2 linked regions of the Caenorhabditis elegans genome follow. The protein of the gene in region 1 purifies or fractionates together with the protein of each later gene. This does not show direct contact. Each region holds a gene or a part of one and is shown on either strand. Other genes may lie near its edges. The genes, in order: srw-23 and sec-10.

The links.
Region 2: the proteins of srw-23 (region 1) and sec-10 fractionate together in Caenorhabditis elegans (co-fractionation; one large-scale study listed by BioGRID). This does not show direct contact.

What each region holds. Positions count from the first base shown.
Region 1 is NC_003283.11:16,867,058-16,881,996, forward strand, and holds srw-23 (G-protein coupled receptors family 1 profile domain-containing protein), read left to right. Parts: upstream 1-6,884; coding exon 6,885-7,609; intron 7,610-7,731; coding exon 7,732-8,085; intron 8,086-8,175; coding exon 8,176-8,398; downstream 8,399-14,939. Other genes in the region: clec-28 (C-type lectin domain-containing protein), read left to right, coding at 1-169; clec-33 (C-type lectin domain-containing protein), read right to left, coding at 621-1,009, 1,056-1,184, 1,232-1,376, 1,420-1,571, 1,685-1,738, 1,838-1,882, 2,196-2,240, 2,378-2,431 and 2 more; thn-4 (THaumatiN family), read right to left, coding at 3,685-4,128, 4,173-4,430; F49A5.10 (uncharacterized protein), read left to right, coding at 8,820-8,918, 8,965-9,087; F09C6.3 (uncharacterized protein), read right to left, coding at 11,770-11,808, 11,855-11,968, 12,190-12,333, 12,379-12,525, 12,797-12,919, 12,969-13,097; F09C6.14 (Small hydrophilic protein), read left to right, coding at 13,937-13,981, 14,034-14,144, 14,190-14,258; F09C6.11 (Transposase), read right to left, coding at 14,929-14,939.
Region 2 is NC_003282.8:7,776,695-7,792,981, reverse strand, and holds sec-10 (Exocyst complex component 5), read left to right. Parts: upstream 1-10,482; coding exon 10,483-10,671; intron 10,672-10,720; coding exon 10,721-11,824; intron 11,825-12,561; coding exon 12,562-12,794; intron 12,795-12,841; coding exon 12,842-13,430; 3' UTR 13,431-13,601; downstream 13,602-16,287. Other genes in the region: Nucleoside-triphosphatase ntp-1, read left to right, coding at 1-249, 298-558; C33H5.13 (CYSTM domain-containing protein), read left to right, coding at 790-828, 873-991, 1,048-1,168; rsp-6 (putative splicing factor, arginine/serine-rich 6), read left to right, coding at 1,754-1,807, 1,861-1,991, 2,038-2,145, 2,585-2,737, 2,785-2,878; imp-3 (IntraMembrane Protease (IMPAS) family), read left to right, coding at 3,493-3,642, 3,694-3,852, 4,123-4,225, 4,443-4,643, 4,879-5,105, 5,159-5,241, 5,709-5,812, 5,861-6,097 and 2 more; tag-322 (uncharacterized protein), read left to right, coding at 7,428-7,584, 7,627-7,772, 7,947-8,069, 8,115-8,443, 8,492-8,616, 8,670-8,734, 8,809-8,910; tag-321 (Transmembrane protein 65), read left to right, coding at 9,157-9,687, 10,033-10,176; rpap-3 (RNA polymerase II-associated protein 3), read left to right, coding at 14,019-14,642, 14,692-14,961; swd-2.1 (Anaphase-promoting complex subunit 4-like WD40 domain-containing protein), read right to left, coding at 15,110-15,346, 15,780-16,070. UniProt on the Caenorhabditis elegans protein: Component of the exocyst complex involved in the docking of exocytic vesicles with fusion sites on the plasma membrane.

The sequences.
Region 1 (14,939 bases):
CGACAAGGTCATATGGTATGATGGAACACCTTCAACTTACACAAATATAAGAACGCTTACACGAGGGAACTGTATTCTGCTCTCAAATGATGTCGGACGCTGGGATGGTTACAAATGCATGATTGACAGAGCAAAGTTCATTTGCAAACGAAGAATTATAGGAAAATAATTAATATATTTGTTCAATAAATGTTTCACACAATACCCTATCATCTTGAAAAAAGTAGATAAATTTTTTAGGGGTTTCCCAAATAATAAATATATTAATTTATTCAAAATTAATTGTTAATTTTAACAACACAACAACCGTTTATTTTTTGCCGGATGCACCAATTTAGATTGGCGAGTGCGGCAATCCAAAAATTTTTTTGAAATATCCGGAAATTCGGACCCACCCTCGGTTCAGACCGAGGTCATGTGCCGTATTTGACTCATAAGCTGTAGTAAGTAATCCATGCCATCGTGTTCTCTTATCAATGTGCTCTTTCACTCGTACTATTAATTAAGTATTCATTTCAAAAAAATAAGCTTATTAATTTCATGATTTATTGTGATAATCATCATAGTCAGAAAATTCAAAATGGTTCAGTTTTAAGTTAATATTCGTTATCGAAAACCAATCACTGTGCATAATCAATTCCAATGGGCCATTTACACAGAAACCATGATTTATCAGTGCATTCGACAGTTTCCCAGAAATCACCACTGCCTCCCCATGAAAAATTCAAAAACAGACAAGTTCCATTCGTATAATATAGAATATTATTATATGTCGCTGGTGATCCATCCATCCAATATATGACGTTGTAGTTTGGAACCACTGCACCCAGTGGAATATATCCACTCACGTAGTATAAAGTTTGAACATAACGATTTTCATTGGCCGAATTGATTGAAACAAGGTTGCCGCCGTGCTTTGTTTTGCAAAACTCCTGAGCATCAGCAATGGTGGACGACTTATCGTAGCGTACGTAACAATTATTGTTATAATTGTTATCGCAATTATCATCTTCAATGAAGCAACTTGTATAAATAATCCGAGCTAGAAGCCTTACCATGAATAGTTGGAGGTAGTTCACACACATAACTCATTGTCTGATTGCATGCGCTACTTTTCCAGTGTCCAGCTTCTGTTCCATTTGCGATGAAGTAAACGCAGTCCCCAATGGTCTTGTTGGGAAAGCCTGGAAATTAATTCTCTCTCAATCTCTCTGTCCTCACTTTTCCTCACCTTTTGCGAAGTTGTCATAGTTTGCCGCGGACCCACTCTTCAGATCCCAAGTACACGAAGAAGAAGTATTTGCATTACAAATCAACCCGGTCCAAATGTAGGCAACCCCACTGTTTGACACAAAATCAAGAGTTGCATTATTTTCCTTTAATTATTTTTACTCAATAGTATCAAGAAAACATGTATACCTGCTCATTCCTAATTGAGAAAAGTGTGGAACCTCCTTCTCTCATACAATCGAAATCAGCATTGTCTCGTGTCTGTAGACTAGTGACTAATCGCCAACATTTGCCATTGATGTAGTTGAAGCCAAAGGTGCAGCCAACGTTGTTGGAAGGTGCTGTGATGGTTAAGTTTGAATCCATGATTTTCCAGTTAAATTTAATAGAATTGGCAAAATTCGTAGAATTATAGCCGGCACTTTATACTCTACGTATAATAAAATAACCTTACCAGGTGTGGTGGTAGTGGTCAGGGGTCTGATTGTAGTCGAAGCGGTAGATGTCTCTGAAATTGAATATTCTATAATAATACATGTAAAACTGTGCTCAGTGGCTGTTAAAAGGGGGTTTTGAAAAATCGTTCAAGTGAATGAAGTAACCTTACCAGGTTTAATGGATCTTGACACCGTTCTAGTTGTAGATGAAATCTCTGAAAGTAGATACTTTACGGATTAATATACTCCATTAATACATATAGGTGAAGCTAAAGAAGCAGCCTATGTTGCTAGGGGGTGCTAATATACAGATTTTTTGGAATAACGACGGTCATTGTATGCTTAGTGATACGATAACCTTACTAGATATGGTGGAAGTTGAGAGTGGTTTGGTTGTAGTCGAAGCGATAGATGTCGCTGAAACTACATGTTCTACGGGTAGAGCTTCACCAATTTCAAATAAAACTTTAAAAATCAGTTGGTGCAACCGCTAGAATTACTTTCGTCCCATGAACGAGGTATCCTTACCCGCTGTGCTGGAGGTTGACAACAGTTTGGTTGAAGATGAAGCTTCTGAAAGTTGATACTTTACTGGTAGGGCTGGCAAAAATCAAAAGAATCTGGTAAATATCATCACTAAATCGGAAAAATTGAAAACCAAACCACATATTACGATCACAAAATACCGCTCCTGATCGTAGTAAACTTACCATTTGTGCTGAAAGTTGTCATCGGTATGTTTGTAGTCGAACTTGATAAAGCCTCTGAAAGTAAATGTTCGGAAGACACGGGATCAAAAAAGGTTCCTGTTTCGAATAACAGATCATACCTGAATTAGTTGAGTCACTTGTCAAGCTGAACACATTACTTCTTTGAAAATCAGAGCTTGTTATTTTATCTGGAAACCAAAAATTTATGGAAATTCACAAAGGTGTTGCCTACCTGCTGCACAAGCTGCATGATGCGTCGTAAAATATGTTAACAGAACAACTCCAGTTATAATAACAATTTCAGTGATTACTCCGATAAGTATAATCAACCAATGAAGTCTCAGAAACTGAATCCATTTTTCTGGCACTAAATGTGAAGCCGACATAGATCGAAAAGTTTTTGAAGAGACTGAAACAATCGGAACAATTGATAAGGAAATTAATTCACTTAAAACAATAATCCAGTGCGTATTAATGATGACTTTTTCTGCAAAGAATATATGAGTGCGTTTCTACAAATTGATAAATGTAATTTCAGACCAAAAACTTCCGGTTGTCTACAATGATATTCACAAGAAGGGACTCAAGTTGCTAGTCCAGCGAAAAAACATCAATAAATTCATTCAAGTACACGAAAAAATCCCAGGTGCAACTGACATATGAACACAAGTGGAATTATAGAAAAACTTCAAGTGGGTAAAATTCGCCAATGTACCATAAAACCAGTGAATCAAGTCGGGGCCAGTGCAGGCGCATCGATCAATATTCTACCTATAAAATCGTAGATAGTCATGATGAAGCGGACTTCATTTGCCGAGTGGATGGAGACCAGGTTCGCACATTTCTCAAGGCAGAAGTTCTGGGCCTGTGGGACTGTGAGATTCAAGTCAAAGCGGAGATAACATGATTTCCCTACCATCTTCAGAAAATTTTAACTACTTTGCAACGTGACCGGAAGCTCGTAAACAAAGTTCATAGGCTGAACGAAAAGCATATCCAATTTTTTATTATTGGAGGTTTGTATAACTGGTAAAACAAATAAATGGGTTAGAGGACGAACACTTATTGAGTAAACACCTTTTCATAGACAATTGCTCAGTCTTGACTTATATTGTTCTTGCCTCATATGTCTGCATTCAAACATGAACTCTGAATTTCAATTGTTCTTACTTCAATTATTTCAATTTTATCTTCTCAGGCTTATTGGAACCGATAAAAATTTTCATTTTCTGAACTTCCAGTAATCAAAAACGCTTTAGGCATATATTTATTTACAATTGACGTACTCAAAACAGATACGAGCTGATTCAACAAAATTGAACAGTGTAGGAAGCACTTGGCTGGCATGTGAACGTGGAACTCGCGTCGTCGTAAGCGTAGGAGTACGCTGTCGGGCACGCATTCTTGAAAAGCTGAGCAAGTGCAGAACGGGTACACGTTCTTGGATTGTTGTATTCATTACGACAGCATTCTCGATCTGACTGGTATTTGAGGCATGCAGATTTACAAGCGACAACTCTTCCATCGCGTCCTCTCACAATAAGATCGCCTGGGCAATTGGCGTTCATATCTGTGACACATCCTCCAGCACGGTGACATCCAGATACACCATGTGGTTGGATAAAAACTGGAATATTATATCCATCGACCATTGACACATCATAAAAGTCTTGTCCCGCACGGCCGTTCAATGTGAATTCAGCAAGGGAAGCTGGTGGGACACCTCCAGCTCCGTTACACTGTTCTGAGTTCTACAAATTAAAGAAAATAATAGCAAATGTTTCAAACAACTCACTCCACAGAATCCTGTCTCGCAGTTGAAGTTTGCATCACATCCGGTTCTAGCCCATATTCTTCCAGCTGTCCATGAATCGCTCACAGTGATATCTCTGGAATGTTCAGAGTGAAGCGTGAAGCCTCCTCCGGCCGGGTTTCCGGGCCCTTGAATTCCAGGCCAAATGGTGAATGGGCACCTGTTGTAGATAGTGATCTTGCGGGTTTCAGCGCCAAGAGCCAGAAGAGAGACAGCGAAAATGAGTTGTGCGAGAGCCATTTCTCCTACAGATGATCAAACGAATAGTTATCTGTTTCTGCGAGTGCCTGCTCAGTTTTAAATGCTGGAAAAAGGGGGAGGAGAGCAAGGATTTGTTTTGTTTGTCAAGTACTACTATTAGTGGTACAAAACATTAACAAGAAAATATTAGCTGAGCGTAACGAACAATGCTGGTGGAGGTCGTACTCATAGAGAGAACGAAAAAAGGTTTGGAAGAAAAATCCGTAAAAGAACAATTTCAGAATGTTGATATTTTCTTTCTTGCGGTAAGAATTTAGCAGCCCAGATTCCCAGTGGCCCAACGGACAATTGATTGGCAAACAAAGAGCAGCAAGGCTGGTCAGTTGCCAAAAGGTGGATGGAAACTTTATTATAATCTGATTTTGTTGTTGCTCCGGTGTAGTTTGAGCTATATACAAAAAAATTACTTTTTTCATTTTTCATACTGTATCTTTGTTTCAGTTATTCGTAAAAACCTTATAGGGTTCGGGACATTGCTTTGTATTTCCTCAAAAGCTTTTTTTTTCAACATTTTGACAATTTACCAAAACGTAGACCGGAAATTATGAAAATTCTAAAAAAGTTGGGAGTGTTTTAATATAATAATATTTGTTCATTTTTGACCATTATAACTGTATTTAGACAAAGCCCCCACTGGCGCTACTTCACCTTTCTACTCTTATTTAACTGATTAAAGGTTTTTGTTATGTTTTGGTAGTTTTCTGAAATGAATAATTGACATTTCCCTCGTCTTTTTGAAACAATATCCAGTTGAATCAGCACCTTGATACAGTATTTCTCGCCAACCTGTGCATCTTTTTCATTAAAAAGTTCTCTATCTTCTGTGTTTCCAAAAATCGTGCTCTATCAGATTTATCACATTCTTCTTATATCAGTTCCAAGTAACTTTATGATTTATTTTGAAGTACTCTGAAACAAAGTGTTCAATTTTAATGATCTTGTCACACTTGAAAGTTTCTGCACTATTGGTTTTGTGACATTTCTCTGTGTAGTACAAGTGGCAAGTGAATAGAACACTTCTGACCTGGAACACTAAACTGTATGGTTTTACAATAAAACACTTGCTAATACTAACTAACTATATCTCTCCAAATAGTTTTCTGAGTTTATCTGTTTCTTGATCATCGTTGCTAAGCCTAACTTACAACACTTGACCTTTGTTTCCAGAACCTTTTTCTCCGCCCACTTCTCAAGAACTTAACTTGTGTGGGAAACCATTTTAACCACATTCTTTCCTGGAAATGATCCTTCGCCATTTGACTCTTCTTATCCTTTTTCTGGTACTCCAAGCTGTAGGTTGTCTTGCGCAATATCGATTATTTTCCAGAAATTTCAGAATTCACAGCATTTCCATCACGGTGCAGCGAGTGGTGGTGTGACATCAAATGGTTATGGAGGTCAAGCCGTCAGCAACAATGATGGATGTAGGAGTGCTGATGGGAAGGATTTGTCAAGCGCTATACGGAAAATAGTTATCATCGGCTTAGATCTGGTATTACCCTAGTTATATCGTTTGTAAATATTATCAAGTTTTTGATAAAAAATTGAAGCACCTTTCTGAATATTACTTGATTTTCTGATAACTACCTATTTCACCTGAAAAACAACCTAATAATTATGTGCCTACTCACTTTATTTCTGCTCAAATGGGTTTTCAGCTGTATTCGGGTAATTGTGGCAAATTAAAGGTAAGAGAGAAAGTGGCATACGCGATTCTAGATTACGCTTATTGCAATTTTTTTGGCATTTTCGCAAATTTCGTTAAAAACATTCGGTCAAGCTGATAAATTTCGCCCAAAAAAACAAAAAAAAATTGTTTCAAATTTGGACAAAAAAAAACAAGTTTTTTTTTATAATATCATAACTTTTCATAATTTTTCATAACATAAATCAACTAAAACATAACAGTTTTCAAAAACTATGTTTTTAAATGTTTTTTGGTCCGAAAAAAAAACCAAAAAATCCATATTTGCCAAAAACACCAAAAAAAGCCAAAAAATCAATTTTTGCCAAACCACCAAAAAACCCAAAAAATACCCAAAAATGTCATTTTTGCCAAAGACACCAAAAAAAAAACAAAAAAAAAACAACAGCCCTCGTGGGCATCTTCTCGTTTTCGCTTTCTAGAAAAGTTCATTCCCAGTCATTTTCTCAAAAATGGTAAAAATCGGAACCCCAACCAATATCAGTCGCTGACATCTCACGGGTTCCGCACCTGACTATGTTTACCCCACTCAACTCTATAGGTAAACATAGTGGAACGAGGAACCCGTGAGATGTCGGCGACAGATGTTGGTTTGGGATCTTTTTTCAGAATTTTTTACTTTTGCTTTTGATTTCAAAATACCCAAAAAATATACATATATCTTTTAAATTTGAAAATTTCAGTTCTCTCTCGTTAGATCCTTATGGGTTCCTCTCGGTTTGATCCTCATGTGTTTCATAAATCTTCGCTTTTTCGAATGTGCTCTAAATGCTCCATTTCTTAAATCTTTCCAATCTCGAACCTACAACTTTTCAGGGCCGATGCTCATACCCTTACCACCCGTCAATGTTTCAACGGCAAATCCCAATGACTACTATGGGTTTGTCTACAATGAGTACGAGTATGACTTTCCAACTGAAACCCCCACATTGAAACATAATATCCAATACGGAATTCTCGATTCGAACGTTTTTATTGGAATCCTTGCAATTATCCTGTGCCTCGTTCATTTAATGATTCTATTGAGGAAATCATTGAGGACAAGCGGAGTTTATGTGTTTATGATTGCTATTTGTGTTTCGGATATTCTGAATTTCTCGCTTGCGTATCCAAAAGATGCAATATACTATAAACACAGCTGGTTCCCAGTACCAATTCACAATAATAATGGAGACGAATGCGTTAAATATGGATGGATAGAAGTTGATCTAGTCGCCCAGGCAATGGAACTTGCACATAATGTCACTAGAAGATTATCTATCTGGTTGGCAATGGTGATGGCATCGTTAAGAACGTTGGCAGTGGCTTTTCCAATGAATAATCAGATTCAGAAGCTCGTGAAGCCGGGAAAGGCAGTTAGCATGGCTATTATTTTGCTCATTGTGTTAATCTCCTATGACATGTTACTTTTGAAATCGAGGATGAGCTTCTATTGGCTTCCCGACGATACTCGGTATGTTTGGTTCTTCTAGAGGACCTTCTATGTTCACCTGTTTAGGCTTAAGCTTAGGCTTAGGCTATTCTTAGGCTTAGGCTTAGGCTTAGACGTAGGCCCTTTTTACATAATACTCCCAGGTGTATACTGAAACCAAGACTCCAACGCTATGTGCTAGTAATGCCAGCAAACGACGATGCATATTCAATAAGCGAAGATCAGAAATCCGTTGAAAAGATTTTCCGTGTCTTTCAAATAATTCTGTACCCACTACTTACAATTTCACTGGTTATTCAACTGAGAATAATCAAGAAAAAGAGGAAATCAATGCGGCAGAACGAGAAGTCGGATAATACTACGTTATTAATTCTTGTGATGACAATTACCTTCATGTTCTCGGAAGGATTAATTGTGGTATTCAGTCTCCTTGACATTAAGGGGAAATTTAGGCACGACATCTTGGATCGATTATACATATTTGAGAAAGACGAAATGTGAGCTTTTAAATTAGTTTGAATTACCACGCAAACAGCGGCGCTGGCCAATCAGGGAATAGTGTGGTCAACGTTGTTAATTGGTTGTAGGCAGAACATGCGAATATTGGTTGCTGTCTGCTACACTCTACGACTCTTCAACTCAATGTCCCATATTCTCGTTTGTGTATTAATGTCTTCACAGTATCGGGACACTGTGAAATCGCTTGTTCTCTGGAAAACAATTTCCAGGTTTTTGAAAGATCGAATTTTGAAGGGAAAAGCCATAAGTGACACAATGTATCCGGCGTCTGTTGCTGAGAAACTCCATTGATTGAGAAATAGGTAAATAATGAGAAAATTTATCATCTGTTTGCGCAATGACGTTCCATGCCAAAAAAAAAATTAAATTAACTGCTACCTGGATGATTATAACAGGATTGCAGTTGCGTAACTAAGAAATGTCTCAAGTGTGGATTTAGAAATTACCCATGTAAAGGAGTAGAAACTGTGTACATATGTATATGCCTTTTCCAAACGTCCACTCATCTCGACCGCAACTTCCTGCCCAAACTAAAGTGGCGTTTCAACTATTTACTCATTTTGAAACAGTTTAACAGACATTTTATCAAAGATAAAGTATAACACAAAACGTGTATACATATTTGCTTAATCTTCCTCATCTTTATCTACTATAAATACACCTACATGTTTTTCGAACCTCCATATTTTCTACTCTTAACATAACTACAGTGATGGACAGGGCTTTTCACTCGAATGTTACCACTATTAACTGCAATAACATTATTTGGAAGAATCGAAGCGAACGGGATAATAGTGTTATCAACAGCAAGGTTGGTTCACAATATTCGTATTCCTCTTATTTCTTTTTTTTTTCAGAAAATTGTCTTAAGCCGAGCTGAGGTTGATAAACGACGAATTGAATCAACTTTCGCTCAAGCTAATGAAGAACATAACTTGCACATGAGTCGTATGATGGAATTAGCAAGGGTAGAAGTTTGATCACTTTAGAAAAAAAATTGAAAGGAATAATTTACAGAATATCGCCCAGAAGAAATGATTTTGGAACCGAACTTTACATTCGAAATTTCATAAATGCTATTGATTCTTATCCGTTTAGACTAATTGCCGTTACTGGTGTATTATGTGCATTGAATGTGTTTAATTTATAGTAAAAAAGATCCAGTTCATCACACAAATTATTTATTTTATCGGAAATTGCAAGAAGTCGTGGACATTTTTACCAGAAAAAAAATAAATTCAATTAAAGGTGGAGTAGCGCCAGTGGGGAAATTGTTAGAAACTACTCCAATGGTGGCAAAATGACCGAATAGCATAATTAAAATTTTAGAAAATTTTTTATTCACTGTGAAAAAAGTGGCACTTACCCAGTTTTTGCTAGTCATAATTTTGGAAGTCGATCAAAAAGAAAGAAGTTTTTCAACATTTTTTTATACTTCAATTTTGTTTTAATTATTTGTATCAAAACATTGTAGTGGCCGGAACATGCGACATTGCTTTGGATTTCCTCAAAAGCTCTTTTTTTTTCAAAATTTTGTCATTTGGTCAAAACTTGGCAATTATGAAAAATCTGAATTTTTGGAGTGTTTTATTATGATACCAGCTCAGCTTTCCAGATGTTTTCAAAGCAATATGAATATTATATGACTAAGTGTTCAAGAGTTACAACTTAAAAAAAAACTCTAGTTTCCTAGAACTACTTCTGAATTTCATGAACGTTTCTAGATATTCTTCATGTCATATGATCATATGAAACTTTTTCACGTTCCTTCCGAAAGTTTTTGGCAAACGTCATTTTTTCACATTTTTAAGTTCATGGCATTTATACAACTTTTGATCTTTTTAAAAAATTCTAGAAATTTCAGAAAATTTTAGAACGCTCCACGAACTTCTAGACTTTTCCAGAAGATCATTCCAGAGTTTTGTTGAATTTTTAGAAAGTTCTGGAACATTTCAGACAATTCTTGAATTTTCTATAGCGATTTAGAACATTCCAGAATTTTCCCGCTTTTTCTAGAAAGTTCTGGAACGTTCCGGAGTTTTCCCGATTTTTTTTAGAATTTTCTGGAACATTGAAGACTTTCCCCGATTTTTCTAGAAAGTTCTGGAACATTCCAGAATTTTCTCGATTTTTCTAGAAAGTTCTGGAACGTTCCAGAATTTTTTCGAAATTTCCAGAATTTTAGAATTTTAGAAAGTTTGAATTTCCCACCAAAATATTTTTTTCAGAAAATTTAAATTTCCCACCAAAATATTTTTTTCAGAACATTTGAATTTCCCGCCAAATTTTTTTCACTAAAAATTTGAATTTCCCGCCAAAATTTTTTCACTAAAAATTTTAATTTCCCGCCAAAATTTTTTCACTAAAAATTTGAATTTCCCGCCAAAATATTTTTCACTAAAAATTTGAATTTCCCGCCAATTTTTTTCACTAAAATTTGAATTTCCCGCCAAAATTTTTTCACTAAAAATTTGAATTTCCCGCCAAAATATTTTTCACTAAAAATTTTAATTTCCCGCCAAAATATTTTTCACTAAAAATTTGAATTTCCCGCCAAAATATTTTTTACTGAAAATTTGAATTTCCCACCAAAATATTTTTCACTAAAAATTTGAATTTCCCGCCAAAAGATTTTTCACAAAAAATTCGAATTTCCCGCCAAAATATTTTTCACAAAAATTTGAATTTCCCGCCATAATTTTTTCTCAAAAAATTTGAACTTCCCGCCAAAATAATTTTCTCAGAAAATTTGAATTTCCCGCCAAATTTTTTTCACTAAAAATTTGAATTTCCCGCCAAAATATTTTTCACTAAAAATTTGAATTTCCCGCCAAAATGTTTTCACTAAAAATTTGAATTTCCCGCCAAAATTTTTTCACTAAAAATTTGAATTTCCCGCCAAAATATTTTTCACTAAAAATTTTAATTTCCCGCCAAAATATTTTTCTCAAAAAATTTGAATTCCCCGCCAAAAAAAAATTTTCTCAGAAAATTTGAATCACCACGAACATTTTTGAATTTTCTCGAATTTTCCAGAAGGTTCTTGAACATTCCAGAATTTTCTCGAGCTTTCCAGACGATTCTATAAAGAACATTTCTCGAATTTTCTAATTTACCTTCAAAAGACAAAAAGTCAATTTTTTCCTAAACTACAGTAATCTTACAGTACTCCTACAGTACTACTACAGTACCCCGACCATATCCCACTACTAACCCCAAATCTATATCTCTTCAAAAGACAAAAACACAATTTTTCCTAAATTACAGTAGTCCTACCGTACTCCTACAGTACCTCTACAGTACTACTACAGTACCCCGACCATATCCTATCACTAACCTCAAACCAATATCCCTTCAAAAAGCGAAAAGTCAATTTTTCCCAAACTACAGTAATCCTACAGTACTCCTACAGTACCTCTACAGTACTACTACAGTACCCCGACCACATCTTTCCACTAACCCCAAACCAATATTCCTCCAACAGCCTAAAACGCCTCGCCTCTGTAAGCTGTGACGTCACAGACTACAAAGACTACATAGGCTACAAACTATGGACAAACGGAATAAGCGCTTTATTAATAGTAAATGATGATGATTCAACATAAGTGTATTTAGACAAAATCCCCATTGGCGCTGCTCCACATTCGGGGAAATTGAGCACTTCATTTTCTCTCAGTAGCTGCTCCATTTTGATGTAGCAACTGTAAAATTATGTTTTTCTTTCGCATTTGGGTTTTTGATACAAACTTTGTCAAGTATAGCATTCTGCGCATCTTGTTGTTTTCTTTGTTCAGCCAACATTTCATCCAGTCTGGCAATATGTTGACGATCGGCTTCAGATCTCTTCTCAACGCTGATCACCTAAATTATTTGATGAAGGATAAGATTTTCTGTAAAACGCTGTTAAAAAAACTAAAGTTTAGTGAGCAGCCGACAGCTGGCGAGGCCACATTTTACTTTACATCTGATAACTAAACAGAAAATTATAAATGCAATTAAACACTATTCAATAAATTTTTTTTTTGTAAACCTTGAAAAATCAAGAATTCTAAGCGGTCCTATCGAAAGCATGCACACTGTACCTGTTGATTACTGTATTTTCGATTATTTTCAAATTGTCTACTATCAATAATGACGTTGTTTGAATTTATAGTATTTGTTTCTTTAAAACGGAAAAATCCTCCTGATGATCTTTGCTCTCGGCCATCAGATGATGAGTGCGGACTCTGCAAGAATATAAAACACATTTAAAACTGGAATGAATAAATTACTGGTCTTTCCCTGTTGTTCCGCTTTTTATGACTTTCAAATGCGTCATTTGCTTCTGAACTCTCGTGCTTTATATCACTGTTAACATCTGAGAATGGATTGGCTCCAAAGGTAGTTGATCGATCAGAAGGATTTGATGTCGGAAAATGCTGAAACGTCAATAATTTAAAAATTGGCACAAATTTTTTAGTTAAAGCTGGAGATTAGTCTGTGAGAAAATGATTTTGAAAAAGCGGGGAAAATTCACTTTTCACCTATTTTTTGGAAATTTCGATAAAAAATTGTATTTCTAGTTTTACGTTTATATTATTCATACGTCACAATTGTCATGGTCGAACATGTGGCTGTGCTAAGTATTTTTTTAAGTGATGCTAACCCAGTTTTTCCCACATTTTGAATCAAATGTGACAGATGTTCTACCTGTGTCGTCCTCTGACGCTTGTTGTCAATAGTTGTATTGTTGGAATTGATAGTAGTCTTTGAATCATAGCTGAAATGCACAGATGGATTTCCACGTGGTTCGGATCTAGACGTATAAACATTCTGAAAAAAGAAACGTTAAATAATTGCGTCTATGCAGCATACTGAATACCTCAATCCGGGAACTATTGCCACCTGGAATGTTGTTGGAGTTCGCAATTGTTTCCACACGGATATCGTGGCTAATATTCATGGTTGGAGGCACTTGTTCATTGGATTCGTCAAAATGTGTAGAGCCCATGCTCTGAAAATAAGCAGTTTAACGAATGAGGATGCCAATGGCCGTTGGGAAAAAAAGAACAAAGCTGAGGAAGAAAGGTAAAAAGAACTTCGACGAAATGTTTGTTTGGAACAAACATAACAAATAAAGTTGATTACGAAATTTGTTAATTTCAATACTTCCAGAGCTCAGAGCTTTTTCAAAAAGTGACAATAGAAAACCTTTCGCAACCCTGAAAATGATTTGTCAGCAAGAACAGAGAAATGCTGTTTTTTGGTTTACTTTTCCTCTGATCTTGCTCACTGTTGGCAACTCTAACCGATAAACCCGAGGTCTTGAAATACACAGAAACTGTCTCATTGTTTACATTTGCTGAACTATTTGCACTCACTTTCAAGTCTACTAGAGATCGAAAATTTTTGTTTTTGTTTTTTTGTGCTTAGATACCTATTAAAATTGATTCTGAAACAATAATCCCTCTAGCGCGGTTTAAATTGAATTTTCATGTTCAAAAATGTACCCATAATATTTACAAAAAATTGTCTATCCAACGGCATATCGAGTCTACTAGAAATGTTGGAGCAATAGCAAGTATCTGCAAGTTTATTGAAGCTGACCTTGTGGTTTTGTTCTATTATTGAACTCGAACGTCATTGCGCAATCAGCTTTCGGATGTGTAAACAGACTAAATCATTCGAGTTTCCATTAGGGTGAAGCAGTTTTAAGATTTCTCAGTATTTATCTATTCTTGCTCAGTTTATTTTACTTTAATTACTCCCATTTGTAGACCTTTACTTAATATACATCTATATTTTTTCAATTAATTCTTAATTCACTTTTATTGCAGACAATCAAAAGTCATGGGTTGGCCCGTTGATGGACAAACTACAACTAACAACAGTGTGGTGAGACCTTTCCTTACTGTTTTCTGAGTCAAAAACGTCAAACCAACTTTAGGATCTAGAATCTCGGGTACGTAACCAAATTGCGGATCTTGTCCAGAATACGGAGCAAAAATTCAGTCAGCATCGTCAAGCAGTTATAGCGCACGCAAAGAAATTATCTGATGTGAGTGTTTCTAGGCTTCCGAGAAATCAAATAAATATTGTTCAGGAACTTGAAAAACAATTGGAGGACGAAGCTCAGGAAATGCACAAACAGTCTGGTGGAAACAGTGCTTGACATAAATTATAATAATGCTCATTTGATGTTTGGAATATTTTTCAAATATATTTGGGAATTTTGAAATATATTTCAAATATATTTGTGAATTTTGAAAAACATTTCAAATAATTTGGGAATTTTAAAATATATTTAAAATATATTTGGGAATATATTTCCAAATCTGGTTTAAATATATTTCAAGTATATTTGAAATATATTTGAAACAGATTATTCTGGACAAGATTCAGAAAGATCCATCGAATACTCTGATTTCTAATAATGGTATCTCTTTTTCCAAAAAATTCATCTACAGCTGAAATGAGATAAAAAGATATAATAACGACCAATAATGCTCTCAACATCTTCCGAGAACCTCTTTTCGGCTCCAGCTTGTGGACCGTCTTGCAATAAATTGTTTCCGATGTTATCATATTCAACTTTTTGATTTTATGGCTAAAATACAAAGAGAAAGTTGAGATGAAAGGTGTTTTGTATCCTTGATCAATTCTGCGTTGTTTCATTTATTGTAGATCAAGGATTGTACATAGATTGAGTATTGTCAATCATCCTATGTAAAAAATGCAAAGAATATACATAGCTTCATTATTCAAAATTATAGATATTTGCTTTAAATGGATAAGAATCATGAATATCTGTGTATTTTAAAACGTAGAGTGAGGCTCCAGAATCATTTTCCCT
Region 2 (16,287 bases), on another chromosome or scaffold:
GGCTTCTCAGAATACTGGTATACGACAAGCAATTTCGGATCTGGTGGCGAATATCATTATCAAAAATTTACGGACGAAGTTCGAAAATACTGCCAAAAAGATTGGAATGATATTCAAGATGGATTCAAAAGAAATGAATTTCCCAACGCTGACATTGAACGACTTGGAACAAACTGTTTCAAAGCTGCTTGGGTGACCAGTGTACTTCATGACGGTTTTAATGTGGATAAAACCAAGCATTTGTTTCAGGTATGAATTTTTAAAGACACATCTTACATTCAAGATAAATATTTTCAGAGTGTTCTGAAAATAGCCGGTGAAGAAATGCAATGGGCTCTAGGAGCAATGCTTTATCACTCAAAGGATCTCAAATTCAACCTACTAGAACAACTTGAAGTTGCGCAATCTACCCAACAAATATCAAATTTCTTCTCATTTTTTGTCATTCTTATCATTGTACTGGCAGTTGCTTTATATCGCCAACTTCAATCTGAATCTACGTACAAAAAATATAATTTTCTGCGAACCGATTCTAAACCGGATTTTCTAAATGTGTAGAGCATGATTTAACTTATAACAATTATAATTTATCATTATTTTCATGTCAAATGCAATAAAAAGGTGTGACTGGTCTTTTACTTTATATTCAACCCGATTAAAATGATAACTAAGTTTCGTCACTTCACTTCTAGATGAATCAGCGAAAGGCAAATAAGGAAAAGGAGTATTTTATAAACTCGTCGTCTTTGAATCGTCATTCTCTTATCACTATATTTTCAGTATTTGACAATGAGCGGCGCACCACCACCACCGCCACCTTACAATCAAGTGAGTTCGATCTTTGAAAAAAACTAAACCGAAAATGATTCAAGGCTTATAACGCATATCCACAACCTCCACAAGGTGTCTACACAGTACAACCCGGTGTTCCCATCGGACAAGGCGTTCAACCAGCATATGCAGTATATTATCAACAGCCTCAAACTGTCATGTGAGTTCTATTCGATATTTCGCGAAAAATTAATAATATTGACTTATTTCTTTCAGAGTTGACGACTGCCATCACCATCATCATCATCGTGAACGGGAGCACGGGGGAGGAGGAGGCGAAATGTGTTGCTTAGCTGGTTTAATGGCTTGTCTATGTTTTTTGTGTTTGAGCAAATAATTTTAATTTGATAATCTGGTTCATAAATTTGCAATTGATATATAAAAATCAATTGAAACTTTGACTGGTTTTGCTATTTCTACTTAGAAATAAATTCAGCACAATTCTACTTTCACATTTGTATGTATATTTTCAGAAGATAGTTATCATTTCGGTTTTTTTATAAAACATATTTTAGTGGAAACATGCAACAAGGCATGCTTTAAAAAATTAAGTGTAAATGTGATGCATTCGAGTTTACTTTTTATTGCACAATTTCTGTATTAATACATGTATCCGTTATACAGTGCAACAAATTCGGCTTATTTATAAAATGCATTTATCAAAAAGATTAATTGCAACTGAAATTTTCGTTCGAATTCGCGCCGTTATCTCACCCCGACATTAGGAAATCTGCACAGCTGAAACAAGTGTTACCGTACTACACGCATCGCGAGCAGCTGCGTCGCGTTTATTGAAATCATTTCGCGCGCGTTGCTCTCGAGCTATCTCCGTTTCACACTTATTTTTGTTTCTCAATAATTATTTTTTGAATATTCAAACTTCGTTCTTTTGCAACTTCATAAATTAATTTGATTTTTCAGTATGGACGCCAAGGTGTACGTCGGCGGTCTGCCGAGTGATGCAACATCACAAGAAGTGAGTTCAATCTTGAGCCATTAACAGTAATTATGTAAATATACATTTTTCAGCTCGAAGAGATTTTTGATCGATTTGGAAGGATCCGTAAGGTTTGGGTAGCTCGTCGCCCTCCTGGATTTGCGTTCGTGGAATACGACGACGTTCGTGACGCTGAAGATGCTGTCCGCGCTCTTGACGGATCGTAAGTTGTTTGCTTTGGATATTCGTTTAATGCTTCAAAATTATAGAAGAATCTGTGGTGTCCGTGCTCGTGTTGAACTTTCAACTGGACAAAGACGTGGCGGTGGCGGTCGTGGTGGAGGTTTCGGCGGCCGAGGTGGTGGCGGAAGAGACAGGTTAGTTGAAAATAATTTGATAGTTAAAGGAAAAGAGAGCTGTATTAAAAATTTTATTCGGTAAAACCGTGGACCAAATTTTTAATTTTAGCGGACTCCGCTCGTCCGCGTCCCCATCTGCCATCCCAAACATCACTATCTTCCACTCCTCTCCGTCTTCTGTCTTCACGACACATTCTTCTCTTCCACATCGCTACGCGCCCTTTACTTCTCCCAAAATCATCGCACCAGAATTGTTTTTGACTCTTTTCATCAGTTAATTCTCCGCAGTAGTTCCTGAATCGAGCTTCTGACAAAATCGTCTCATCATGCCTTCGTCGGCTGAATCTTCCCATTCAGTAAGAAAGTTACATCTACCTTTCTTTATGCTGCCATCTGCAGGAAAGATGTATTCGACAAATATGCAATATTCGGAATGTTTTAACATTGTTTATTTCAGATCGCCATACCGAGGAGACCGTGGACGTTCCCGTTCACGCTCTCGTGATCGTGGACGTGATCGCAGCCGCGACAGAAGCCGTGATCGCAGTCGTGACCGAAGCAGAGATCGCAGTCGTGAACGCAGTCGCGAAAGAGAACGTACTCGTTCAAGGTAAGAGTTTTGGATATAGTTATTTAAATTTAAATGAGAAATTTCAGATCTCGATCTCCTCAAGAACGTGATCGTTCTCACTCGAAGAGTCGCTCCCGCTCTCGAAGCCGTTCTCGCAGCCGTTCTGCTTCTCCGCACTAAATTGTGGAAGATCCAAGACCATACAGTATCTTCTCCACAACATCAATTTGCAACCCTAATTCCTCCGAAGAATCTCGAATCAATGATTTAAAAAAGTTTTCACTAAATTTAATTTCTTTGTTGTTTAACCGAATTTTACCATTATTACCTTTCACTGTTCTGTCTTTTTTTATTTTGTTCCTCTTTTTGTAACCTAAAATCGTGAACTTTCATCCATTTTATAAACTGTTGTCGGAAAATAAAAGTAATATTTCGGTAATTTGTGAACGGGGAAATCCAGGGAGACCTTATTTTGTGCGACTTTTTGCTCTGTGAGAGCGTTTTCGAATGTGTAAACAACTGCTTGGAGAACTAGAGAGCAGCACGTGTTTGTGGTGCTCTTTAAAAATGTTGGTCACCGGCCAGCAGTAGAAGATTGATTTTCCCACACATTCTTTATTTCTCTTTATGTGTCGTCCCACCGGCAGCAACGCACGTTTCTTTTTTGTTTCGTATGGCAAAGGATAAACAGGTCTTTATATAGTACGGTTCTACTTGATTTCTCTTCGTCTCTTGCCATTTTTGTTTTCGTATCGTCTCACAGTTAGCACGTGCTATTCCCAGAAAGAAAAAGTATGTGTACTGATTCAAAAAAAGCTCAGGATTCGCCACCAAAAATGCGAGACGACGTGGCAAAGATTGCCGCATCGGCGAGCATTTTAATTCTTTCATGGATTGTACTTTATCACTCCTGTCGAAGGGCATCTACAATTTACTTTTTCGAGGTTAGTTTTTAATAAAATATATTTCTTTAAATTAATTTTAAAAAATTGCAGCTCGATTCAACAACTGTAATATTCATGGATCAGGTTCCTGCAATGATTCTCCCATTCGTTTTCTCTATAGTCTTGTATTTTGTATATTTGGGAACTAAAAGAAGCGCCAATATCGAACGAGACAGAGAAATTGCTAGAGAAGCTGAAAAAGAACTCAAGGTGATTCTACTAGGAAAATGCTGATTTAATTCAAAATTTAAAAAATACAATCACTAGTTTTATGTAAAATAGTTAATTTTTCGCTCTAATTCCCTTTCAATTGTTGAAAATATCTTTCGAAAACTTCTTGAGACTGTCATTCTTGTCAATTAAACTCGGTCTGGTAATCAAAATCAACCAGTTCAGCGTAATTCCCCTTGATTTGATTGATTAATCGATTCATTTCATGATGTGATTGTTTGTTTCTTCTTTAACAGAAAATTGTTTCAGACATCCTCTTCATTCAACTCTCGAAAGGTTTCCCGTGAGATCAGCAGGCGTGCTTCCGTTTCATTAGGAGATGAACAGGCAGAGCAACAGCAAAGAATTCGAAGTAAGATTATCAAAATTGAAGGAAACTGATAAATTTATCGTCCTATCATATCAAATTTCTCTCATTTATTTCGAAATTATACACATTTGTGTTCAGAAAAGTTCATTCTACAGTGAGAGAAATCTAGTAGATAGTAATTTCAAGTGAGCTCGAAATTTCCTTTAATGACCTACTTATAAATTTGATTCGTATATATATATAATTGTTATTTTTCTAGGATTGCTATCAGATATTGAAGAAGCAGACATCGAAAATACAGTTCGAAGCCATCGTCAACGAATGGAGGAAGAAGATATTGCACCGAAATATGTGGATGATAATGAAAGTGGACAAGATACACCTCCTCCAAGAAAGTTAACAAAATCGAGATTTGTAGTAGAAAGTGCAGAAGATGGCAGTAAAATTATTATTCCACCAGGTATTATTCCACCAATACAAGTGCTTTCAAAACTCTTCAGAATTTTAAAAAAGGGAAATAATATTGACATCCGAAATATATATTTTTGAAAAAATATTTTATCTCGAAAAGTGGAATTGACAATCAACTCTGTAATTTAAAAAAAACTACCGCAACTAAATCTTCAATAAATTAAATTTTTATGGAAATTTGTTTTTTTTTAATTATAATTATTTTAATCATATCACTTTTTCAGAATCGTCATCTGTTACACCAGAAGTTCGTAGTCGTACTAACTCAAAAAGTACTCATGATCTTATGACAACACACAGAGGATCTTCAAGCAATTGGATATCTGCAAGTCAACGATCAAGCAGAAAATCTTCAATGGGTGGATCACCAGATAAAAGTCAAATTGTATGGACTACCGGAGAAGAAGGTACGACGGCCGAGAAATGTGACATTTATAAAAAACTCGGAGATGTAAGTTTTCTGTTTTTTTAAATCAAATTTTAATTTAAATCATATTATTTCAGATTGACCTATTTTCCTATTCACTAAGTGCGTTGAGCCTACTTCCGAGGAGTGATGATGGACCCAGAGTTTACATTCAACTTGAGTGAGTTTTTATTTGATAAGGAGCAAAACAAATAGTGAAAATTGAACTAATAACAAAAAGTGCAAATGAAGATATTTATAAATTGGTGTTGAAAAAAAACATCTTAACCAGGCTTGGGAGCGTGATTTGATGAATATATTGGGACATTTTTCTTAATTATTGGTTTTTGCAGCTTGTAATTTCGAAACTTTTATTTCATAATGTGAAAACGTTCATTTTATTCCAGACACTGACAACTTCTCAAAAATTTTATTATGCAGAAAAAATAAATTCTAAAAAAATCCAAAATGTTTTGCCAACTCTAGACACCAGGAAATTTCATTTTAAAATTGTGCGAATACCCACTTTTGGAGCAAAAAAAGAATTGAAAAAGGATGCTTCATGGATATATATTTATGAAATACAATCAATAACTAAAAATTTGAATTATTTTATTGTTATCAAAACTTCAAAATAAAAACGTTCAGTTTGCTCGACATAATTGCTGAATTGTTTGCTGTTCATGTGCCTATCTGGGCATCCGTTGCATGTATTCATATAATTCTTTTGGAATCATTCAGTCAGCATATGTGTAAGTTAATATTTTTAAAGCTGAAACTCTAATCTCATAATTTTACAGCATTCTACTTTTATTATCATGAAGAATCAATGATGTACGCTTCTCTTCTTGTATCTCTCTCATTTGGACTTTATCATGAATGTTCTGGTAATTGGATCTCTAACGACATTCTTGCTTTTGCATCGATTTACGTCGTGTGTTCAAGAATTCAAGCTGTGAGCTATCAAACTGCAATTATATTTGTCATTGGAATGTCGCTTTTTGATCTTTTCTTCCTTTATGTGGTGGATCTTTTGAGTAAGTTACTGGAATCGTAGTCTTGCGTCCACGAAAACGCTGGAATGTTTGCCTTTATAAACTTCAGTCTCTGTATAAAAATTAGCAACTTTGAAAAATTAGCACCTGATATCGTGACGAGACCCACGCGGAAAACATCATGTGCCTTTAAACGGACATGACAAAATTTCGCGAAGTTACGATACATAAAATTGAAGTGTTCATAAACTGTACTAAACATTTTTTAAATTGTTTTACGAGACTGACTGAAATAAAATTTTCGATTTTGCGATTTTTTACATTGTTTACTTTTTAATATAGATGTTTTCAGGCACAGTAGTCAAAGAAAATCGTTCTCCTCTCATGATCCTTGTACCTCGAGACACAAAAGGAAATAAACAAAGTCTCGCTGCACTTGATATAATGGTTCCTGGAGTATTTCTAAATGTTGTTCTCAAGTACAGCTCAATGTATGATACAAATCTTTTTGCAATCACGTTTGCCGCAGTCTTTGCATCACTGGTTTTCTCAGTTTTCTTTTCTATATGGAGGTAAAAACTGTTTTAAATTCTACTTCTTACAAAATACTCTTTTAACAGATCAAAAACAACTCCGGCTATGGTTCTCCCAGCAATTTCTGCAATCATCTTTTCAATTGGATTTGCAAATCATACCGACGACTTATGGAAATTTATGATTAAACACTAACAATCGATTCAAAATTAATGTAAATAGATAATCTTACTTTTCTACATGCTTGTTCATATTCATATCTGTATTTAAATTGTTTATTTTGACTTCCGTGAAGATCAATAACTTTTCGTCTAGGGTACATTTCCACTTGCCATTTTTAATTCATCGTTTTTTCTGATGAATTATTTCTTAAAATAAAATGATTCTCGGATTTTTAGTTGGTTTTTTTAACATAAATAATCCAGTAAAGATGATCATAATGTATTCTTCGGAAATATATTCCTTCCGATCGGAATTCCATGAGAAGAAATAAAAAAATGACACAAAAACTGTTCCCGCAAGTGCGCTCTATCGAACGACCTATGTACTCCACTCGGAGAACTCTAGTGTTGAGTTCTTTCGGCAATTTCTCTCCTGTTTTTATTTGTTCTTTGCATATATTAATGATTTTAACGTAACATTTAATTAAACATTTTTTTAATAATATCAGCAAAATCCGCTGTCAAATATTTCATAAGATGTCACCACTTCGTCAGTTTTCAGTGACTGGTGCCAGCCTTCCATTCGATTATTTAGTGTAAACTTATTTGTTGTTTACTCCATTGAACACATTTTCTCTAATACCCCTCTTGAGCCAAATCCCGACAATTTTTCAGGAATGTCAGATGGAATAACTCTCGATTTTGCCAATCAAATTATCCAATATTGTGCAGAAATTCGAGAATTGTACGAAATTGAAGAATACGTCCGACAGCCGAATGACCATAATTTACTAGAGTTTCTTTATGATCTCAGTACTTTTTTGCTTGAATTAGGTAAGGAATGAAGATAATACAATTAATTTATTTCGTTTTCAGAATGTCCTCATGAAGAACTGACATGCGGTGATATTAGAACACGTTTCCAATCTTCATCAGCAAAGAAGCTTCTTGAAAGTTTTCTTGATTCAGAAGTCAAAACTGCTCGTCTCATTACTAGACAAAGAATTGAATCGGGTGAAATTGTAAGTTTTCTTTTGAAATATTGCATTTAAGTTGCCAAAACACAACTGGAAATATCTCGGATTTATCATTAATCACATTTTCTCAAATTTTTGCTTTATATTTTCTATTTAACTTTGTTTTTTCTTGCTTTTTAGTCTCAAGTCCCTCCACTTCGACCTAAATAATTCATTAAGGTCTCCGAAAAACGTGATCTCGAACTGACTCCACTTATTGATTCTGCCCTTCGAACACTCAACTTCCCTAAACAAGCAGGAAATTCTAATGAATGGAAACTCTTGGAAACTTTGAGACAAAAGGTATTAATAATTCATTGAAGAAACCCTCTCAAATTCTATTTTCAGACAGATGGACGCGTTTCCCAAAGTCAAAGACATCCACTTTTCAAAGCGACTCTTGATGAAAATACACTTCCTGAAATTGAAAAACAGTGTGAATCGTTTTCTCGTGATTTTTACAATCGACTTCTACTTCTGAACAGTCGACTCAAGGTCACAGTTGAATCATTTTTATGGAATGATCGCCTCAAGATGCACAGAGAGAATATTCAATCAATTCTTTCTGCTCGTGTCGATGAAATTGGACGAGTTAAAGCGAACAGTGACGTAGCTCATCTTCTTTCTGCAAGTTCTTCATTGCTCTATATTCAAAAAGCGTCATCTATGGATAGAAGGTATTTTTATAAAAATGTATGGTAAAAACTATGAAATTGTATTTTCAGAGAACGAACAAAAAGCAAACAACATCCACTTTCAATTATGGATGCTCCAAAAGATCGTGGAGGACGCACAGAAGAAATGGTTGGAGTGAAACAAGAATCTTTCAGACAACAACAACATACTTTTGGTAAGTTTACTCATTGTTAATTGCGGAAAATTTCTTGAAATAACTATTTTCAGATAGGCAACATTCCCAAAATCGACAAAAAAGTACTTTCGACCGTCCAAAAACTCACGAGGAGCAGGTTTGTTGTGTTCAATCTTTTTCTAGCCATTGTGGCGTCATTAAAACATTGCTCTTATCAACTGTCATTTCTAGGTTCTCGAACAACACACTTCACGAGACAATAGTGGACAAAATTGGAGAGGAAGAGGTCGTGGAAGAGGCAGAGGACGAGGAGGCGGACGCGGATATCATTGAAATTTGATGTTTTGTCGTTTCTTATTCTTTTCAATTCATTCGGTGTTTTTTTCAAAATGGGCTCACAGTTCCTTTTTGTTTTAATTTATGAAAACTGTTTATAAATTGAATGTTTTTCTTTTTTTTGAAAATGGTTGTTTTCCAGTCAAATCCCTCTCACTCGTTATTAATTATGTATTATTCGTTAAATTTATTGGTCTTCTCATAAGTTAAATTACAGACCACGGCTTGCCGAAAGGCAAAAAAATGATCAGCTCGCCAGCTCGTCTGGCTTTTGCCATGATCGGCAGAGCGAGCTCTCGAACGCTTCTAACAAACCATTCTGTCACAAGTATCCGTCTATCGACTACAGCAGCTTTCAAACATCTTGATAAACTGATAATTGAAACTCCAAATGATGCTATGGAAATTGCAAGTCGTCTGACTATCATTGAACAACAGATGTTGAAATCGGCGTTAGACGATTGTTTGACAAAGAAAGAAGATGGGAAAGTAGAAGAACTTACTCAAGAGCAAGTAAAAGGAATATTTCTAGTCAATTCTATTCCTTTTATTGGATTCGGTGTTCTTGACAACATGATTATGATCCTAGCTGGCGAGTATATTGATCAAAAACTCGGGGCCGTTCTAGCTATATCAACTATGGCAGCCGCTGCACTCGGAAATCTTATCTCGGATATTGCTGGCGTTGGTCTCGCGCATTATGTAGAGGTTGCAGTGCAACGAGTTGGAATTAAACATCCTGTTTTGACATCTCAACAATTGGACAGTGGAAAGGTGAAAAAGGATCTATTGATTGTTTTTCAAAAAATGATAAAAAGTGTTAAAAATTTTATTCACACTGAACTTCTGCCCGAATAAATTCAGTCTGCAGCTGCTGCATGCAGCAGGGGTACAAATTGTGCCAATGTGGCATGTTTTCTCAATTTTTTTCAATAAAATTTAGTGATAGAATTTAGAAAAATATTTGTTTTATCTGATAATGAAGTTGAAAATTGCCGATAAATTTTTGAACGTTTTTTTACCAGAAATGTTCAACTACTGAACGAAAATGAGAAAAATAATCGTCTTTTTTCACACTCTAGAATTTTTAACTCTTTAAATTTAAAAAAATGATTTCAGGCCAGGTTCACAACGAATGCTGCAAGAGCAGCTGGTTTAACAGTCGGATGCTTACTCGGAATGTTTCCATTACTTTTCTTCAGCGACGACGAAGACGATGAAAAAAAGAAGAAAAAAGAATTGAAAGCAACTAAGCTTGAATAGAATTAGAATTTCTCATTGTAAATATTTAACTTTTGTTCAAAATACCTAAATGTTTCTGTATATTGCATAATCTTGTCCCTCTGCCAATACTAGTCAATCATTTCTATTTCCCTGTATGCCATTTGCATTTAAAAATTCCCTGTTATTTGCTCAAACTTCAATGTGCTTTACTCTATTTTATTCTTTAGTATAAAACTATCAGAACTGATAAGGTTTGAATAGATTATTTAATTGGTTCTTTATAGCCGTCGTGTATATTTTATATTCAAAAGTGGTTTTTCATGCTTTAGGAACAAATAATTACAGATGAGTGGTGGACAATATGTGACATATGTACAGGATCTAGAACAGGAACCGTTCGACGCAATTGATCTTGTTGAAAAACTGGCATGGAGAATGACCGGAAGTGCTCAGACTATAAACGATCCGGTTTCTTTGAAAATGCGATTCGAGGAAGAAATTGGCAGTTTACAGATGCTTTGTGATCAGTTTCAGGTTATTTTTCAATTTTCTGTTCGCATTAAAAAAAAGTGGAAATTTTTAGAACAAAATCAATACTCTTGAAAAGCAAATGAACGAGGAAAAGAAGGATTATGTACAAAAACTTCACCGTCTTCACGAGAAAAATGGAGAAGCAATTGATAAAATGAAACAATTAGATCATACAATGCAAGCAGTCTCTACAAAAGTTGTTCATCTTGGTGATCAACTTGAATCCGTCGATCAACCACGTTCACGAGCTCATGATGCTCATCAATTGATGCAACATTTCGATGAATTCCTCTCAGATCAACCTCTCAATTCCATGATTTTCACTGATCCTGATAAGCTTCTCGAATCTGCCGATCTGGTGCATAAGCTTTATTCAATTTCTCAGGAACTCAATAAGGACAAATTTGCAAATGTTCAAGCTAGAATTGGACAAAGATATAAAGTTGTCGAAGACTTGCTAATCGAAGAATTCGTCAGATCTCAACGAGATGAGAAGAAAATGGCAGAAGTTGCGAAGATTTTGAGCGAGTTCAAAGGTTATTCGGGTTGCGTCGATCGATACGTCGATTTCTTGTGTCAATCAATTCATCCACGTGGCGATGGTGGAGAAATTCTAGCGGATTGCTTGCAATTATGTCGAACTCAACAACCAAGAATATCTGCAATATTTCCATCTCCACACACTGTTATGCAGAAATTGGTTCTGAATATTTTCACAGGACGAATGAAAGAAACAATAACTGCAAGACTTAGAGAATGTAAAGATACAGATGATCAAGAACATTATCTCCGTGATTTGGCATATCTCTATTCGAGCACTTTGAAAATGTGTAAAGAATTGGAAAAACTTCATATCAGCCCAGACAGTGCATTTTTATCAACTCTCACTGACTCTATTTTCCAAAGATACATAGCTACGTACTGCTCGGAAGAGTTGAAATATTTGAATGATCAATGTTCGAATCTCCTTCAAAGATTCTATGAATCAAAAAAACACGTAAAGAAACAAATTGGAGGTGGATTACACGAGTTGAAACGAGATGTGGCTGCAAGATTAATGAATGTGGAAACTTATGGAGGAGAGACTTTTGTCGCTGAAGATGTCGCCATTTCGATTCTTCAAGAAACCAAAAATGCGTTTGGGCGGGCAAATCAGGTACGAATTTTGATGTTTTGAAACTGCAAAAAATGAAAGAAAATTTTAAAAAGTTTGAACGCTCTCTTGTTATAACCTAAATCTACCGTACTCTCCTACGTGACGAGACCGTCGAACGGAAATTTTTAAAGCAATAATGAAGTAACAAGATTTTTTGCAACATTTTGCATAAATTCTTGGTACTTGATTCTTTTGCAAAAGGTTTAAAAATATCGTCAAACACGAAAAACTGATACAAATTCAAGTCTGAAACCCGCCTCGCCGAATTTTTCGATATTTCAAAGTAGTTTTCAACAATTCCAAATTTCAAATATTAGTGCTGGGTTACTGTAGTTTTCAAGAAAAAAAAACGTTTTGAGCTTTTTACGAGATTTTCAGTGTCACCTGTGGCTTTCAGCAAAAATTTTTCGACCAAAAAACGAAAAAATTCAAAATTTTTCCTTTTTCCGACTAAAAATCAACATTTTTGCAATAAAATTTGTATTGGTTCGAAAAAAACCAAGAAACCCATTTTTTTTCCAAAAGAAACCAATAAAACGGTGGGGTACTGTATTATTTTGTTTTAATTTTTCTTTAGGAATATTCAAAAAATATTCAAGTTTCCGAGTATATTTCCTAAAAATTGAGAGTTTTGAAATAATATTCGGAATTTTTTTCCAAGCTTCTTTCAAAATTTTAACGTATAAAAAACCTAGCATTTTTGCAAAAATAAATTCGAAATTTCAACTTTTTTGCAGTTATGTGACAAAGAAGAGCTGCCAAGACACGTGGAAAATATCGTAGACGTTCTATTAAAATATCTTTACGGAGAACATTTGGATTATGCTGTGGAGACAGGCTTGGCTGGAATTTCTCTTGCAGAATCAAAAACTGAACCACCTGCCTACTTTTTCTCGGTTGTTGCAAAATGTACCAGTGTCATTTTACTTATGATTAAACAATTTGAAGATCCCATTTTCCCTATTATCAAGTGAGCTTAATTTTTATTAGAAAACAAATAAATATATTTTATTTCAGAGAAACAATTGTCGAACCATCTGTTGCCAAGAAATGGCAACAATCTCTGCGTTCTTTGGAATCAAAAATGAGTTTAGGATTGGAACGGCAATTGAATTCAATCGTAGGATACGTGAAATTCTTGTTCAGCGAACAAAAGAAAACTGATTTCCGTCCGGATTCTCAGCAAATTGATATTCGAGTATCCCCACAATGTCAATTGGCATCTCGTTTTCTTGCAAACCAAGTTGCTGCAATGGAGTTGGGATGTGATGGCGAAAATTTGGAAGCACTTCAATCTGATCTTGCAACTCGGCTATTCAAATTCATGCTTACACATATTCAACAGTTCACATATAATTCTACTGGTGCTGTACTTCTTCTTTGTGATGTTGGAGAACTTCGAACTCTTGTATCAAAATGGAGAGTTCAAAATGCACTGACACAATGGGAAAGTCTTCAAGCTCTTACCAATTTGCTCGCCGTTCTTCCCGATCAAGTTAATGAAACAGCTCACTCCTCGTTGCTCGAAAATGTTGATAGACAATTGATTCATGATTTTGTTCGACTTCGAACCGATTTCCGATCTATTAAAAATTTCCAAATTTAGTTGTTCAAATATATTTATTGCCTTTTTCGATTTTTGTGAATGTCTATTTCTTATCCAGATGCTTTTTTCTTGTGATAGATTGGATTTTTAAACTTAATCTTGAAATTTTTTTAAATAAAAACTAACACTTAATACCGTTGCGGGTATTCTTGTAAATAAAATGCTTGCTTTTTTTTTTTAATATCTGTTTTTACCCAAGTTGGTAGATAATTCCATCGCATTGTTATTTGTTGTTACCAAATTGTGAAATGTTGCTTTTATTTAAAAAAAAAACGCTTTCTGCTCTCACCACGGAAAACAATTTTCAAATAAAGGCTGCGCTAGGGCTGACCCCAAAACACAAGAAATTAATTGTTTTAAAACCCAAAAAACCAACAAGAAAATTGTTTTTTCTCTTCTTTAAATTTTTAAATTTTGTTTTTTTATTCGAAAAACCCCAAAAAATCTAATAAGATTTCAGAATACTGATGAATGGGTTACTGTACTTGTAAAAGGTTTTTTCGTGTCTTGAATGAATAAAAAGTATTCTTGGAGATAGAGCTTACTTGTGAATTACCTTATTTTGAAATAAAATATTTCGTTTCAGAAATGGACGAAGAAAAAAAAATTGCACAACGTCTGAAAGAGCAGGGAAACGAAGCTTTTAAGAAGAAAAAGTATCATAAGGCTATGACAATCTATTCGAAAAGTCTTGAACATTGGCCTGATCCAATTGTATTCAGTAATCGAGCTCAAGCTGGGCTCAACGCAGATCTTCCTCTACTTGCCCAAATCGATTGTACTGCTGCACTAAATTTGGATTCAACTGCAGCAAAAGCTTACTACAGAAGAGCTCAAGCCTTCAAAGCACTGGAATTGTATGAATTGGCTGAAAGAGATATGAAAACTTGTTTCAAATATTCGAATGATCCAAATATGGAGAGACAAGCAAATGATCTGAAAGGAAAGAAAAATGTGCAAGTTATTGATCTTCCGTCAATCGAAAGAGACGAATATCTACAATCAGATGAAAAATTCACAAAAATCGACTTTACGTACAATATTGAGAAGATCGAGGAGATCATTGTCGCTGAAGAACCAGAGAATGATAATATTGTTCCAAAGTATATAACAAAGCTTCCACCACACCCAAAGGACTATCAAGATTTTGTTGGAGCTGTGAATATGTTGAAAAGAGCCCAAAGTTTGCTTCCTCTTGCAGAATATTTCTTAGTAAGTTGGAAATCTGTGACGTTTCAGAATTAATCGAAATTTGTTTCAGAATATCAGCATGGATAAATATTCAGAATTATTCGATGAACTCCTAGACGATGTATATGCTGTTCAAATCTTCAAGGCACTCAACTTTCATCTGAAAACTGGTCGCACGATTCCCCATCTCGCCGCACGAATGATGATCATCAGTGAACTCAGTCGTTTTGATCTTTTAATCGCATTTATGTCCGAAGAGCAGAAATCAACTATTACTGAAATCTTGGATTATATGGTTCCAGAAGAAGCAGCAATGGTGTCATCAAGATATTCTTTCTGATATTGAACTTTCTTCATTTCGAATCTCAACTTGTTGTTACATTCATATTGTTGTTTTTGTGAGTAAAAATTATAAATATCGTAATTTTAAAATGTTGAATCGAGATCAATGGGGAATGATTTGAAATGTGCTATTTGCATCTTTTTGTTTAAAGATTCTGAGTGTATTCTTCACTGGGTGCCCATAATATAACTTCTCGTCCTAAAGATGTCATCAGGAATTGTTTCTGATTGAAAGCAACTACATGTGACGGTTCAGGATAAGGAGTTGGAAGCTTGCAAGTCACTCCACCCGTTTCTGTTGAATAGATATAAACGTTTCGGTCTGCGCTTCCTACCATTACGAATCCAGAATCAGTGGAGACCGATGCTCGAAGTGGGATTTTCTGAAATAGAAAAGATAATTTTGTTTAAAAAATTATAATTTTTCAAGTTTTTTATAGAAAATAACATTCGAAATTCATATTTGCTCAAAATGTTTAAAGAAACGTTTATAATTGACATAACTTGATGTTTTTCGTCTTTTTGTAAAATCGTATTGTTGGCGAAAAAACTATTTTCGTTTTCGTTTTCGAAAAAAAAATTGGATTCAGTCCTGATTACAGTAACCCAACTCTCCTTAATTGAATTTTTTTTTCTTTTTCACATTTTGTTTTTTTTTTCATCTAGATTTTGAGGTATTTATTTTACTCTTGATATTTTTCACTAAAGTTTCACAAAAAAAAATGCCTTCGAGAGATATAACCCGCATTTTCGCTCAAAATCGCAAAACTTCGCTACTGAGTAACATTTAATTTTCGCTTATCAAAAAAAACTGACATTTGGATTTTTGTGTTGGGAAAAGCTGTGAATCAGTGTTCCATCGAAAGCATCAATCCATTTAACACTTCCAGCTGTCGTGGAAATTAAAATAAATTTCCCACATGGAGAAAACTCGATATCCGACCATTCATCATTATCAGTTTTAGTAATGATAAATGATTGGAATGGACCCAAGTCGAATGATCTCATGTCAAATAGTTTGATTGTGTCCGATTTTGTTGCAACAGCGAATAGAATTCCATCAGGATCAAAAGCAATTAGAGGAGTGTGTCCAGCTAGAAGGCATCCCTGGAAATAAATAATTGATTATTTATATATTGAATTTTTTACTGCAAAAAATAGTTTTTTTTAAATATTGAGTTGGATTAAATGGAAATTTTAGCAAAATATTTTGCTGTTAGGAAATCCAAAAAACCAAAAATACCGTAAAAGAAAGCGGAAAAAATCGAGATAGAGTGATACATAAATCCAACTTTTAAAAACGCGATTTTTCAATTTTAGCTAA